2 linked regions of the Drosophila melanogaster genome follow. The protein of the gene in region 1 interacts with the protein of each later gene in a pairwise test. Each region holds a gene or a part of one and is shown in the gene's direction. Other genes may lie near its edges.

Evidence for each region. Proteins that work in one complex are often made in the same cells at the same time.
Region 2: the proteins of DCTN5-p25 (region 1) and Ubc84D interact in a two-hybrid assay, tested with the Drosophila melanogaster proteins (one large-scale study listed by BioGRID).

The regions. Positions count from the first base shown.
Region 1 is NT_033779.5:15,000,581-15,009,319, forward strand, and holds DCTN5-p25 (dynactin 5, p25 subunit), read left to right. Parts: upstream 1-5,152; 5' UTR 5,153-5,244; coding exon 5,245-5,292; intron 5,293-5,380; coding exon 5,381-5,680; intron 5,681-5,737; coding exon 5,738-5,959; 3' UTR 5,960-6,027; downstream 6,028-8,739. Other genes in the region: Ankrd49, read right to left, coding at 6,065-6,576, 6,626-6,761; NC2beta (negative cofactor 2beta), read left to right, coding at 7,338-7,889; THG (tRNA-histidine guanylyltransferase), read right to left, coding at 8,102-8,739.
Region 2 is NT_033777.3:7,515,872-7,521,456, reverse strand, and holds Ubc84D (ubiquitin conjugating enzyme 84D), read left to right. Parts: upstream 1-2,000; 5' UTR 2,001-2,098; coding exon 2,099-2,560; 3' UTR 2,561-2,637; downstream 2,638-5,585. Other genes in the region: alpha-Est7 (alpha-Esterase-7), read left to right, coding at 1-87, 173-323, 382-945, 1,008-1,177, 1,233-1,706. UniProt on the Drosophila melanogaster protein: Catalyzes the covalent attachment of ubiquitin to other proteins.

The DNA.
Region 1 (8,739 bases):
CGAATTACGTGGCATGCGGCATGCCTGCCGCCTTTTCAGCCCCCGAATTCCCACATTTAATACATTTCGTTTTTTTTTTTTCTTTGGTCCGAGTGCTCGCAATGAGGAAGGTCAAGTGCAAGCGCCAAATGTGTTTTATATTGTTTTTCACATTAGTCTCAGCTTTTTGTTTAATTAATTTTTAATACAATTTTGGCCGGTGGCTTGTTTTGTTGACGAGCGCGTTGATGATGTGACAGGCGGCGGCACACACACACGACTTGGGTGGTTCTGGAGGCTAATTGTGGCAGTTGATGGAAGGGGGGCACTTAAAAGGTGCTCGGGCGCCACAGGTGCGACCTTGACGAGGTGGCAATGAGAAGAATTGGTAATTTTGAATTAAATAAAATCACTGTTTAGAACTACAATCCATCAAAAGTTATCTTCATTGATTGTATTTATTGGTAATCAAAAATGGTTTACTCTAAAACTTATATATACAAATGAGGAGTATTTAAATATAAATCAGTATATTTGAAATATGCTTACTTATATAAATTCTTAAAATAGCTCAAAAGTATTTAGTTGTAAGAAGTATGGCCAGGTTTTCCCTTGCTGATTGACCTCGGATGCGATACCCTTGCCACTAGTTCACAGAACCCTCACAAAAAAATTACATAGCCACCATTGACCGCCACTCTCGTTGTTATCGAATGTTTAAAATCGAATTTAATTACTTCCACCCACTAACAACTTCCGAGGCACACTTCGCACGGAAGCCTTGGATACAATAATAAGCCCAGCCATTGAGCACGCTACCTATATGGAAATATATGCTCATACAAACTGGAGTTTGATTGTCAATCATTGTCAATCAATTACCAAATAGTGGGCCACCCAGCGAGAAACCAAACGAATGTGACACTGAGTCGCTGGAAAACCTTTAAAGTTCAATCAACTGACAGACACAAGAGACTTAATCACCTGTTTATCAGCTAAGTGGGTTGGAGGGCTTATAAACCGATACCGATATCATATCATTTTATATTATATCATATTTTACCGAGCGCGCTGAAAGGCGAAAAGGAAGTGGAAACAAGCCGAGTCACAACAAGAAACCAAATTGAATCAAATTATATATGTTTAATACCCGAAATCCAGACCGATCCAAATACTGAGACTGAATCTAAATCGCTGCTCGTGGCTCGAGGTTAGCCTTGCCCATGGCATACAAAGCTGAAAATTGAATTTGGCTTATTTTTTAGGTCTCTCGTCAGGTTCAAAACTATTAGCGCCCGCATGCAAAAAGAAAAAAATAAAAAGAGTAAGCGAAGTCCAATAGAGCAATCAAAATTGGAACAATGCATTAACGTAAGGCAAATAAGCTACGAGAAATGCATCATGACATATATATATTTAAAGTATAGTTTTTAAAAAAAGGATATGACCTAATTAAAAGAACTCCTTGTCAAAATTCTGTTCATTCAAGCCTCTTGAAATGGCACTTAATTGGTCAGCACAGCAAAGATCAGCTGTCCTGAACTCAACAATGTGATTTACAACTATGTTCCACACTGTAGCTGCTGTTGTCAGCAATGTTGTTTCTGGCGTTGTCGTGCGTTGGTTTTTTGACAGTTAACTCTCTACTGGTTTTGATTTTTTCGTGTACCGAACGGGGGCCACTTGAAATTTGATTATAATCGATTTTGGCAAATAAGAAGTAAAAAAAAAAACGGCAAAAAGCAAAAAAAAAAATCACGGGCAATCGTTATTTAATGCGAATTCAGCCTCGGGGCAGAGTTAATGTTTTAATTAGCACAACTTGGGCAATCTGAGGTCGCTTTTTGGGGGCAAAAAGCAACAAATTGCAGCATGCCACGCCCATTCAAGCGTATCCCAGAGGGGGCTGTGGGTGGGAAATTCGTTATATACGTACCCATAATTTGTATTATAAATATACGCCACATCAAAAGCGCATTCATTTGTTGCTCGATTCACACAATTTCTCATTGCTATTTGTTTGGTCGCGCTGAGCTCAAGCATTGGCAACTCCAACTCCAAATCCAACAGAGTTATGGATACCCCCTCCCTCGCAAACCGTTGAGCTACTGTCATTGTCAGACAATCGTTAGTTAGTTCTTGAACTCGGCTTTTGAACTGAGCTCTCAAAACTTCGTTGCTAATCGCGAGCTACTCGTTTCGCGTTGGGATCTTGACATGAGGAAGCCATTTGGTCACCACATGGAATTGTAATGACTGTAATTAATAGAAACCAAAAAGTGCTTGGTCGCTGGAGAGCTGGAGGCGGCACTCCAATGCATATGGTTAATGGGGTTCTAAGGTAGAACCATAATATATCACGCAACACATTTTCTAAAAATTTAACTTTACACTTAAGGAGTCGTTCTGAGAAATGAAACTTACTTAATAGCTATGTTATTATAATTTCAATAAAATATCTATATGAGTCTCTAAAGAAGGAAACTTTAAAACAACTTTAGCGTGAAATGGGACAGTATGGAAATTCGTTGTGCTTAGTTATTATGTTAGTCACATCAATTATTAAGAGAATTTTCGGTGGAGTCTCAAAATTGGGTAGCCATTTATGGACAGAAAAGTGCATACTCAAAAGATCCTTGAATTACTCACATTCCGAGAATCTGATAGTCACCTTTGTTCTGTCAATCTGAAACTTAGTGAATATATGCAACTACACATGTGCAGCATACACACCAACATAGGAAATTATCTGCGAGTTGTCAATAGATGCATGTTATCGATCGAAACAAAAGACTTGAACAAAAAACTCGTTTCACTTGCGGGATTTAATTTTTTTTCTTTTTGTTTTTGTCGGTCAGCTGGGGGAAAAAAGTGAAAATATTATGCAACATTCTCAGACTGACTCTTTCACTCCAACTTACCTTGCGCGCATTGAATGCAACAAGTATTTTCACAATTTTGCTAATTCCAATTAATTTCATTTGTCGTTTCACCTTCATTATTGCATTATTACAACTCGCCTGTTCTTGGCCAAATCACATATATATATACACATATGTATATATGTAAGCCATTTGCAATTATTCAATTAAACATGACATGACTATCTAACTGGATAGCACTGGCATTGTTTTAGTTTCAGTGTAATTTCCATTCAATAATTATGCGATCTAGTGCCGCCGGTTTTGTCTCGGAGAAAACAATTCAAAAATTTTATAGCCATAAAGCCATCAAGATCAATGCGATCGTGAGCGATTGTCTTTTTTTGGTGGCGATGGGAAGGGCAGAGTGCGTGTTTCTTGATCTTGATTAGCTGGCCATTTAATAATGAGTTTTCCCAACAACAGCCACTTGATACAACAGAAACCAATTATCAAGGTCGCGGATGAGTTGGCTATTGTAAATATTTACATACACACACATAGCTCGCGGCCCTCCTTCGTGGGCTGCCCAAGGTCGAAATGTGGCAGAAGAGTTTATTCGATCGCTGTTGGACTAGTGTAAGGCAAACACTTGACTACACGTTCTACGACGAAGTCAAGACCTTCGCGGCCATGGACTTCTAATTGCTGGCAGGGAAAGTTACAAATATTACAGAAAATTACCTTGAGGTTACAAAAGTATGTACCTAGGTTGATTTCGGATTTCATATCTCCCTATATCTTAAATCACTTTATCGTTTAGATTTGCTTTAATCACCAGCATCGAGAAATGATTGAAGCTGCTTCGTATATTTAATCAAACACTTAATTAATAACCGATTCATCTCAGTTTCGCCTTGCTGAAAATCACACTTAACAATAGGCACCATTTTTAAATCCGAAATGAAACAAATTGGAATAATTTGTTTGATCAACCGATTGAAGAGTTGTTTGTGTGCACAACTCAATTAATTTCCAAACATTATTCAAGTTCAAGTTTATTAACCTTAAGTTCAAAAGTGCAAACACCAAACAGATTAATAGATTCCGATGCGGTTTTTCTCGCCGAAGGTTAAACGATTTGTGTTCTTTGCTTTTGGCGGATTCTTCAAAGCTTCAATAGACTGGCACAATTGTTTGCAGTAATTGGCATAGAAAAGCAATAATGGCAAAGTTCAGATAGTTCAAACCAAGAAGGTCAAGTGGGGTGGGGAAATTCATTGTAGCTAAGAAAGGCAGTTGTTCTTAAAAGTCTGAATATAACAAAAGATTTCTGCGCTAACAAATTTCGTTACTATTTCTCCATGTTTAGTTAATATTTTCGTAAAATCTGTTAAAGAATGTATGGAAAATGATTAAAAAAAAACAAGAGAGTCGAGTTCTCTGACTATTAGATACCCTTTACTCAGCCTTCTAGCTTTTATCTCAAATAGCTTTTATAGTTCCTGCGATCTCTACGTTCAAACGGACAGATCCTGATCAAGAATATATATACTTTATTTAGTCGGAAACCCTTGCTTCTACCTGTTACATATTATTTAACGAATCTAGTATACCCTTTCAACTTTACATAGTCTTCTTTATTGTTTAATTGACATTCTTTAAGCGTAGTTAAATCATATATGGAAAAGCCCGCAAATCCATAGCTTTGCTTACTTCTGCAAAATGTGGAGAGCCAAACGAAGAAAATAGTAATGAAAACATAAACAAATTAAAATGCTGCCAGAGCTGCCGCCGCTTGAGGCATTCGAGCGTGCCCCGCGAAGGTTAAGCCAATGGGCTGGGTCTCGCGATTATTAAGGAGCGCATTAATTGGAACTTCGTTGGAGCGTCGGACAGCGGGAAGTTAAAAGTTTTGGAAGGTCGGTGCGTCAATGGGAGGCGGCGGAGCTTACTGCGCTTTCAGCCAACAGCTGTGTGAGTTCAATTATGCACATTCTTTTCGTTCTGCCAGCAGATTTGCGCCTGAAGAGCAGCTGTCTAGATGTGCATCGTGATTTGAGAATTATGGCTAAAAGTTCAGGGTCAAAGTGGGTTAAACACCTGGGTTTTCTATGCACCCGCCAAGGCAGCTTGTAATTTGTAAAACTTCGCGTGTGTCTAATTAATAATTAGATGTAATGCCAAGCTCTTCAATGGAAAATCAATGGAATGCAACGAATTTGAATTCAAATTTGGCGCCAAGCTAATGTGGTTTAGGTCTTGACTTAACGCGTTACATTTGGTATTTTACCAACTATACACTGCGACCACACACATCAGCTGGTCGAAATATTTTCGCAAGTGCAGTTTCACTATTTTATTTACTTTACTTAAAAATAGTTTTTAAAACTGCTGATTAATCATGGAAATTCCGGATACCTACTACAGCAAAGATGAATACGTAGAGACGGCAAGTATTCGCACTGACTTCCGCTTTGGGATTCCATTTAAGCACTAAGAGATGACCTCATCATGACCAAAAAACTGATTGTTTACAGGCTTCGGGTAACAAAGTTAGTCGCCACACGGTGCTCTGTGGTTCCCAAAACATTATTTTGAACGGCAAGGTGATCGTACAGAGCGGCGCCATCATTCGCGGCGATCTGGCCAATGTCCGGACGGGAAGATATTGTGTGATTGGCAAGAACTCCGTCATCCGACCGCCGTACAAACAATTCAGCAAGGGAATCGCCTTCTTTCCCATGCACGTCGGTGAGCATGTTTTCGTTGGCGAAGGAGCAGTCGTCTCGGCGGCCACCATTGGATCCTATGTGTACATCGGCAAGAATGCCATCATAGTAAGCTATTACTTATTGTTATACCCTTGTAATCCATTTACTTTTACCATCTTTCAGGGCCGTCGCTGTGTTTTGAAAGACTGCTGTGTAATTGAGGATGGGGCTGTCCTGCCGCCAGAAACTACCGTGTCCAGCTACATGCGTTACACGGCGAGGGGAACCATCGAGGGTGGCCAGGGCAATCCGTATTTTGTGCCCGCCGCCATGCAGGACGAGATGATCAACTACACTAAGTCATTCTACGAGCATTTCGTGAGGGCTCCAGCGCCAGCCAGCTGAAAATCGTGGTGTCTACCAATTCCATCGACAGAAAACATTATTTATGAAATAAACATATTATATTAGTTATTCTATAAGTATGCGCATAGTTTGACTATTAAGTGATTAATCTATCAGTCCCGTTTCGCAGTCGTAGGCTTCCTCGCCGGACTCGAAAATGGGAAAACTCATGCCAGTACGACGGGCAATCACCGAGGCCAGTTCCTCGGAGTTGTTCTCCTTGCGCGGCTGGATGTATCGGTCCAGCAGAAGGACCGTGGCCGTATTCCGACAATTGGACACAGTGGCGGTTATGTGAAGCGGCGTCTGCTTGCCGTCCGATTCCGCATTTACATCGGCGCCAAACTGCAGCAGCAAATGGGCGCAATCCGCATTGTTCCACTTGCAGGCGGAGTGCAATGGCGTCCATCCCAGCTCCGTGCGGGCGTTGGGATTGGCATGGTACTGCAGCAGCAACTTGGCCATATCCACAAAGTTATTATAGGCAGCTCGGTGCAGCGGCGTGTATCCGTCGTTATCCTTGGCGTTCACGGTGTCTGCGTCCAGTTTTAGGATTTCCCGCACCTCGCTGATGCGGTTCTCGTTCACCGCCCACAGAATCATGCGTTCAATGCTGCCTATGATGATGTTTAATTAAACTATTTCTCTAAAATGTATTCTACTTACTTTGTGGGTTCTTGTCCTCTTCGATCAGTTCGTCGGCATCGTCGTCCCAGCCGCTCACGAACATTCCGCGCGGCACTTTGGCGTGGCGCAGCTTCTCCACCTGTGATTTTTCATCATCGGAATCGTAGTCCCCCATTTTGTGGTAATATATTAATAATAAGCCGGAATTTAAACAGCTCAACTTTTTGTTTTCTATTTCTCAAAGTGACCGTTGCTTAGCCGCTTAAGTACACTTAAAAAAATACTAAACACTTAAAAATATACTAAACGAAGAGTGGAGTTTTAAAAAGAACAGTACATTTGGTTTTTCAAATAAAAAAAAAAAAACTATTTATATAAATAATGGTAGGAATTATAAAAAAATTATTCTTTTATTTGAAAAGTCTGCCATTTAAAAAAAGGCTGTATTATTTATAATATTCATCAAAATCAAATTAATCAAAGATTATTAAGCCATTAAATTTGTGTTGAATACATAAATGATATACATCATTTTATATCATCATTTATATATTTTATTTTTAGCTATATATGCTTTATATAGTTCATTTCAATCAATTAATGATTTCATTTATTTACAAAAACAATAATTTTTCGATTACATTTTTCTGTTAGCAGTAAACGGCCACTCTAGCACACTATACTAGTAAATCCGAGAAAAACATCTGCTTCCAAGTTTGTTTGTTTGTTTGTTCCTTGAAACCAGGACGCCATGTCGAATCCGCAGGAAGAACTACTGCCGCCCAGCGCCGAGGACGACGAGCTGACCCTGCCACGGGCCAGCATCAACAAGATCATCAAGGAGCTGGTGCCCACGGTGCGGGTGGCCAACGAGAGTCGCGAGCTGATACTCAACTGCTGCTCAGAGTTCATTCATCTGATCAGTTCGGAGGCCAACGAGGTGTGCAACATGCGCAACAAGAAGACGATAAACGCAGAGCACGTCCTGGAGGCGTTGGAACGCTTGGGTTTTCACGACTACAAACAAGAGGCGGAGGCCGTTCTGCACGACTGCAAGGAGGTGGCAGCCAAGCGAAGGCGCCAGAGCACGCGCCTAGAGAACCTGGGCATTCCGGAGGAGGAGCTGCTGCGCCAGCAGCAGGAGCTGTTCGCCAAGGCACGCGAGGAGCAGGCGCGCGAGGAGCAGCAGCAGTGGATGAGCATGCAAGCGGCAGCAATGGTGCAGCGACCACCGCTGGCAGACGGCTCCGTTGCCAGCAAGCCAAGTGAGGATGACGATGACGATGACGACGACGACTACTAGTAGGAAATAGTCTTTCTATGAGCTTAGTGTAGATTTAATCTTAAAATATATGCCATAAGTTGAACTTTCAACTATTAGCTACTCTTCATTACGGATCATCCGTTTGTCCTTCACTCCAGCAGCCTGGGCACCGCATCCTCAATCTCCGAAACGACTTCCTTAGATGTATCGTAACTTTAATCTTTAAAAATGCAAGACTATTCGTTATTATATCAGCTGGTACCAGCCAGATTTTGTGGCTCCTCCGCCTCATTGTCATCCTTGCCATTTATTTGCATCTCCACCAATCGGGGAAAAGTTTGTGGTGCGTCGTATGTGCCTGGCACATATTTTCCCAATATTTCGGTGTGTTCCTTCCAGAACTGCGAAGATATCAGATCCTCGTGCAGCGGCACCACGGCCTGCCTGCTCTTCTCACCCAATATCACGCGTTTTCTCAGCAGAATCGTTCCCTTTCTGTACATTGCCGGCAGATTGTTGTAATTTATCCCGAATTCCTGGAAGAGCAGCTCATTTTTGTCCGCCGAAAAGGTGCCACGGAGTTTCGCCTCGGCTTGCTGGTTCGTCAGGCCTTTTTCCAAAACGAGTTTCCAAAAGGCGGTATTGTACAGGTTGTTCACATGCACATCGGCCTGTCGCCAGCTGAGATAGTCCTTTAGATTCTGCTCCGAAGGATACAGAACAACGCGACCATCGAAACACGGAGCATAGGCCAATGGCAGATTCATCCACTTGGACCATTGCATTACATAGCTCGAGGAGAACAAGCTGGTGACGTAGGTGAGCAGTTTGGCGGATCGTCGCTTGAACGCTGCCGTCTCTTTGCGAAAAACAAAGGAGTACTCATCAC
Region 2 (5,585 bases), on another chromosome or scaffold:
AAGGATAAGGCCGTCCAGGTGCAGTTCGTCTTCGATAAGGTAGAGGGCTCCGAGGACTGCCTCTATCTCAATGTGTACACCAACAATGTGAGTAATTCTATTAACTTGTGTACATAAAACATCGTTAAAACCGTAATAACTTTAAACATTTTTTATTTGTGGTACATTTTAGGTGAAGCCCGACAAGGCTCGCCCGGTTATGGTTTGGATTCACGGAGGAGGCTTCATTATCGGCGAGGCCAATCGGGAATGGTATGGCCCGGATTACTTTATGAAAGAAGATGTTGTTCTCGTCACGATACAGTACCGACTTGGGGCTTTGGGTAATCTACTGTGTGCGTATGCGCAATATTTTGACTAAACATTATTGTACCTACACAGGATTTATGAGTCTTAAGTCCCCCGAGCTAAATGTACCAGGAAATGCTGGCCTCAAGGATCAGGTGCTGGCCCTCAAGTGGATCAAGAACAATTGCGCTAGTTTCGGCGGAGATCCCAACTGCATCACTGTTTTTGGAGAGAGTGCTGGAGGCGCCTCCACTCACTACATGATGCTAACCGATCAGACCCAAGGGCTCTTTCATCGCGGCATCTTGCAGTCGGGCAGTGCCATTTGTCCTTGGGCCTACAACGGCGACATTACCCATAATCCCTACAGGATAGCCAAGCTGGTTGGCTACAAGGGCGAGGACAACGACAAGGATGTGCTGGAGTTCTTGCAGAACGTAAAGGCCAAGGATCTTATTCGCGTGGAGGAAAATGTCCTGACACTGGAGGAACGCATGAACAAGATAATGTTTGCCTTTGGCCCATCCCTGGAACCATTCTCCACGCCCGAATGTGTGATATCCAAGCCTCCAAAGGAGATGATGAAGACCGCCTGGAGTAACTCCATCCCCATGTTTATAGGAAACACTTCGTACGAGGGCCTGCTGTGGGTTCCAGGTTAGATATTGGGAATTTTTTTGAATTTTCTTTCAATAAGTAAATTTAATTTTATTTCACAGAGGTAAAGCTTATGCCGCAGGTGCTGCAGCAGCTTGATGCTGGCACACCTTTCATTCCCAAAGAATTGCTGGCCACGGAGCCCAGTAAAGAAAAACTGGATTCGTGGAGTGCACAGATTCGAGATGTTCATCGCACTGGCTCAGAAAGCACCCCAGATAATTACATGGATGTAAGTGTCGTCCAATTAGGTGCTTACATAATCATAAGCTGGTAATTTATTTCAGCTCTGTTCGATTTACTACTTCGTGTTTCCGGCCCTGAGGGTGGTCCATTCCCGACACGCGTACGCGGCTGGAGCTCCAGTATATTTCTATCGATATGACTTCGACTCCGAGGAGCTCATTTTTCCGTACCGCATTATGCGGTTGGGACGCGGTGTCAAGGGGGTCAGCCATGCCGACGATTTGAGCTACCAATTCAGCAGCCTGCTGGCTCGCCGGTTGCCGAAGGAAAGTCGCGAGTACAGGAACATCGAACGAACCGTGGGCATCTGGACCCAGTTTGCTGCCACGGGTAATCCCTACAGCGAGAAGATCAACGGTATGGACACTCTGACCATTGATCCAGTTCGCAAATCCGACGAGGTCATCAAGTGCCTCAACATCAGTGATGACCTGAAGTTCATCGATCTGCCTGAGTGGCCCAAATTGAAGGTCTGGGAGAGCCTCTATGACGACAACAAAGATTTATTGTTTTAAATTTAACTTACTGTTCTGTACAGCCTAACAAAGAAGTCTCTAGAAACTGTAAATAGGTCAAAATGCTTTATAAAATATATTCTGCAATTGGATTGTTTTGCTTTATAACTAGTTTGCCCAATGATTGCATGTGGATGAGAAATCCTAGTTTAGGTGAGATTTAAAAATATATATTTCTATTTATCTCTATATTTACCTCAGTTTACGCCATTTATTTAAATGCTTGATAACTTCTTAATAAGTTTGAATATAAAAACAATGTTCGACATGCCCTTTTGACTTTACTGTCAATAGCAATAGGAAAATTAAATTTTTAGACTTTTTTAAATTAACAAGTTTTTTTCCGAGATCTAGGGAAAACAAAGGAAAGGAACTCTGATCCCGTTGATAGAATGGCTGCCACTCGTCGTCTGACACGGGAACTCTCCGATCTGGTTGAGGCCAAGATGAGCACTCTGCGCAACATCGAGAGTAGCGATGAGTCCCTGCTGATGTGGACGGGTCTTTTGGTTCCGGAAAAGGCGCCCTACAACAAGGGCGCCTTCCGCATCGAAATCAACTTCCCGCCCCAGTATCCCTTTATGCCACCAAAGATCCTATTCAAGACGAAAATCTATCACCCCAACGTGGATGAGAAGGGGGAGGTGTGCCTGCCCATCATCAGCACAGACAACTGGAAGCCCACAACGCGCACAGAGCAGGTGCTCCAGGCCCTGGTAGCCATCGTCCACAACCCGGAGCCAGAACATCCGCTTCGTTCTGACCTGGCCGAGGAGTTCGTAAGGGAGCACAAGAAGTTCATGAAGACGGCCGAAGAGTTCACCAAGAAGAATGCGGAGAAGCGACCAGAGTGAAGTCAGCCGCAGCTCACATTTATTTGTATATCAAAATTATATATAGTTTGGACCATCAATTAAAACTTGTCAGACATAAGTTGTCCATATTTTGAATGTTCGCTAAGATATATGTATGGCGCATTAAATGGACGGTAATTCGATAAAAAAAATGGGCAAGAAAAAAAGTACAGTTAAAAAGAAATTCAAAATATTTTTCAAAATTGAGGTAAAAAAATTGTGGCCGTTGGTAAGCGTGGAATACATGTTGTTGGTTTATTGCTACAATCGTAGCCAACTCTTGGCTACTTGGCGGTGATTGTGGCCGGTGTCTAGCAATCTACTAAAGAAAACTTGTGCTTCAGCGCCTGTAGAATCTGCATGCTTGATTTCCCATTTCTAGCCATTATAGTTCCCGAGTTCACTCGGATATTGATCCTATATATGTACACATATAATTGATACCTATTACTTGATATACCCCTTTGTCTACGAGTAACGAATTTAATCAAATTACATTAATGTATCATTAACAGTAACAACAGGCAACCGCATTTGGCAATATCGTATTGGTAATTATAGCAATCATATTTACCTAATACAGTTACACATATACGCATAAGCTATCAAATATTGACCACATTCATCACTTTGGACGTCAGGTAGTCCACGTAGTGACGAAGCGTACCAGTAGCGTCTGCGAAGGATAATAACATACTTTCATATATACACGATAATAAAAGTCTGCTGCCGATTATAGCGAGTACCAATAGATATATACCAATAGAACACAAAAACTAAAGGAATTGTAAAACAAGCCTTTGAAAAGCCTAGAATACGATTCTGGGCTAGTGTTGACGTACGAAATATATTACAAAATTCTATCTGTAAACACGGTTTTAATAAAATCCATGTAAGAGTATTACCAAAGACATTAGAACATTATTCTAGTGTCTTAATACTAAACACTAGGTTTTAGGAAAATTTTTTTTAGTAAATGTTTGGTCGGTTTGTTTGTGTGAATCAGAATGATTTATCCTAAATTACCCCTTTTTTCATAAATCACCTCGTTTTAAGAAAGTTTAGTTTTGACACTTTTGAAAAAACCTGGTAGTTTATCGGGAAAACAGCTTTGAATACACCTTTTACTTTAGAACATCTGGGAATTAAGGCTTCCGCAAAAGGTCGCTCAAAAAGCATTTCCAAGTGCTTGGTACCATTTTTAAACGTTGTAGATCACTGTCAAAATTGGATACGTACTACTCCGATTGTTTTATATTGTTGTATACTACTTACCTTTATTCTATACTTTTTCAAATTTATGCATTTTTAGAGCCGTTACATGTAGAGTAAATGGGTATACTAGGTTCGTTAAAAAGTATGTATATATAGTCTGATCAGGATCAATAGTCGATCCGGCCATGACCGTCTGTCTTTATATGTAACCGTTTCGATATCAGAGATCTCTCAAAAAATCAAAAAATTGGGCGTGGCAACATCTCTTGTCTATGTATTTGGAATTTGGATACCAAATATCTACTTCCTGATATCCTGACGTTCATACGGACGGACATACAGCCGGATCGACGGCGGTCGGATAGACGGTCATGGCCAGATCGAATCTCAAATACCCTTTTATTATATGAGTAACATGTATAAAAATATGTATTTTAGCTGCTTTAAAAAAAAACTATCACATAAAAGCAACGAATTAAGCCTGTTAGCTGTAATGCATATAGTTGCGTTAAAATAAAAAAAAGGGTATATATAGTGCTCAAGAACCGATATCATTATGTAGTTTTTGCCTTCTCAATCGAAAATAAACAGAGTCGCCCTATCATCAGAAGTGCTTAATGTCCTTCAAGTTATTTATGGGCCTATGCAAGTTGCACTGAACGGAACCACTTGCTGATTACATAATATTTTTTTTTTCGACAAAATGAAACACAGAGACACGTTAGCACTGCGGTGTGCTTAGTACATTTGGAAACAATAGATCATAAATCCGAACCGCTTGGCATCAGTTTAAACAATAAAAATGGACTCAAGCCTGGTAGAGATGATGTGATCTCAATAAATTAACCGACAAATAAATTCAAAGCGGCGTCAACAGTAGGCAATTACTCTTGCTGACTTTAATTGAGCAATTACGTTGGGAACAAAATTTGTCATATAGAAATGAAAAGCGATTTCCGTTCTGTTAAAGCCATCCATGAACTTGATACAAGCACGTAAGATTGCGTGGCTTGGTGGGAGGAAATAGGGGAGAAGTAAGATATAATATTCTATAATTACATGAACTACATGGTGTTATTGGTGCTTCCTCATGGGGGAACGAACTCAATTAGCTGGGAGTGTATTTTTTGATGGTCAGCAATATTTCTATATTGATTTCGTGTAATACCTTTGTTCTTCAATTCTAGCCGTTGATAATATTCCCAGTTGCTTTGCTAATTGCACCATATATGTAGTTTTATCATGGTCATATCTAAGGGAAATATAATTGTGTTCAATAGCTCAAATTAAATTATCTCAATAACTTATTAATGCGGAAAACTGGTTTGTATAAATGTATAAATAAGTAAAATATATATAATTGCGTTTCATGAGTTTTAGGTGAAATCTGGTTATATTTTTTCTTGAGTAACGACCTTTATTATTGATGTTTCTAAATGTATGTTCATAAATTATTATTGTGCAGTAATAAGTTAAATATTATTCTATGATGGGCTTTCTTTTCCTGAGCCAATAAAAAAACACCTATAAAAAATAACTATCTGTAAATATTTAGTTTTAAGTTTATGGCAATCGTTGACAGCATTTAATTGATTTAGGCCTCAATTAATGTAATCACTTCTATATAACCGGGCAGTGAAGCTCCGCCCAAAAACCGCAATAACATTAATAACAATCGCGGGGGGCTGATAGCCGAATAGCGGGGCATGCTATAAACAATAAACAACACGGCAGCAACAAAAACGATAACGCCTAAACAAAACAACGGCGCCCAGAACAGCCAGCAAGCAAGCGACTCAGTCGAGCCAAA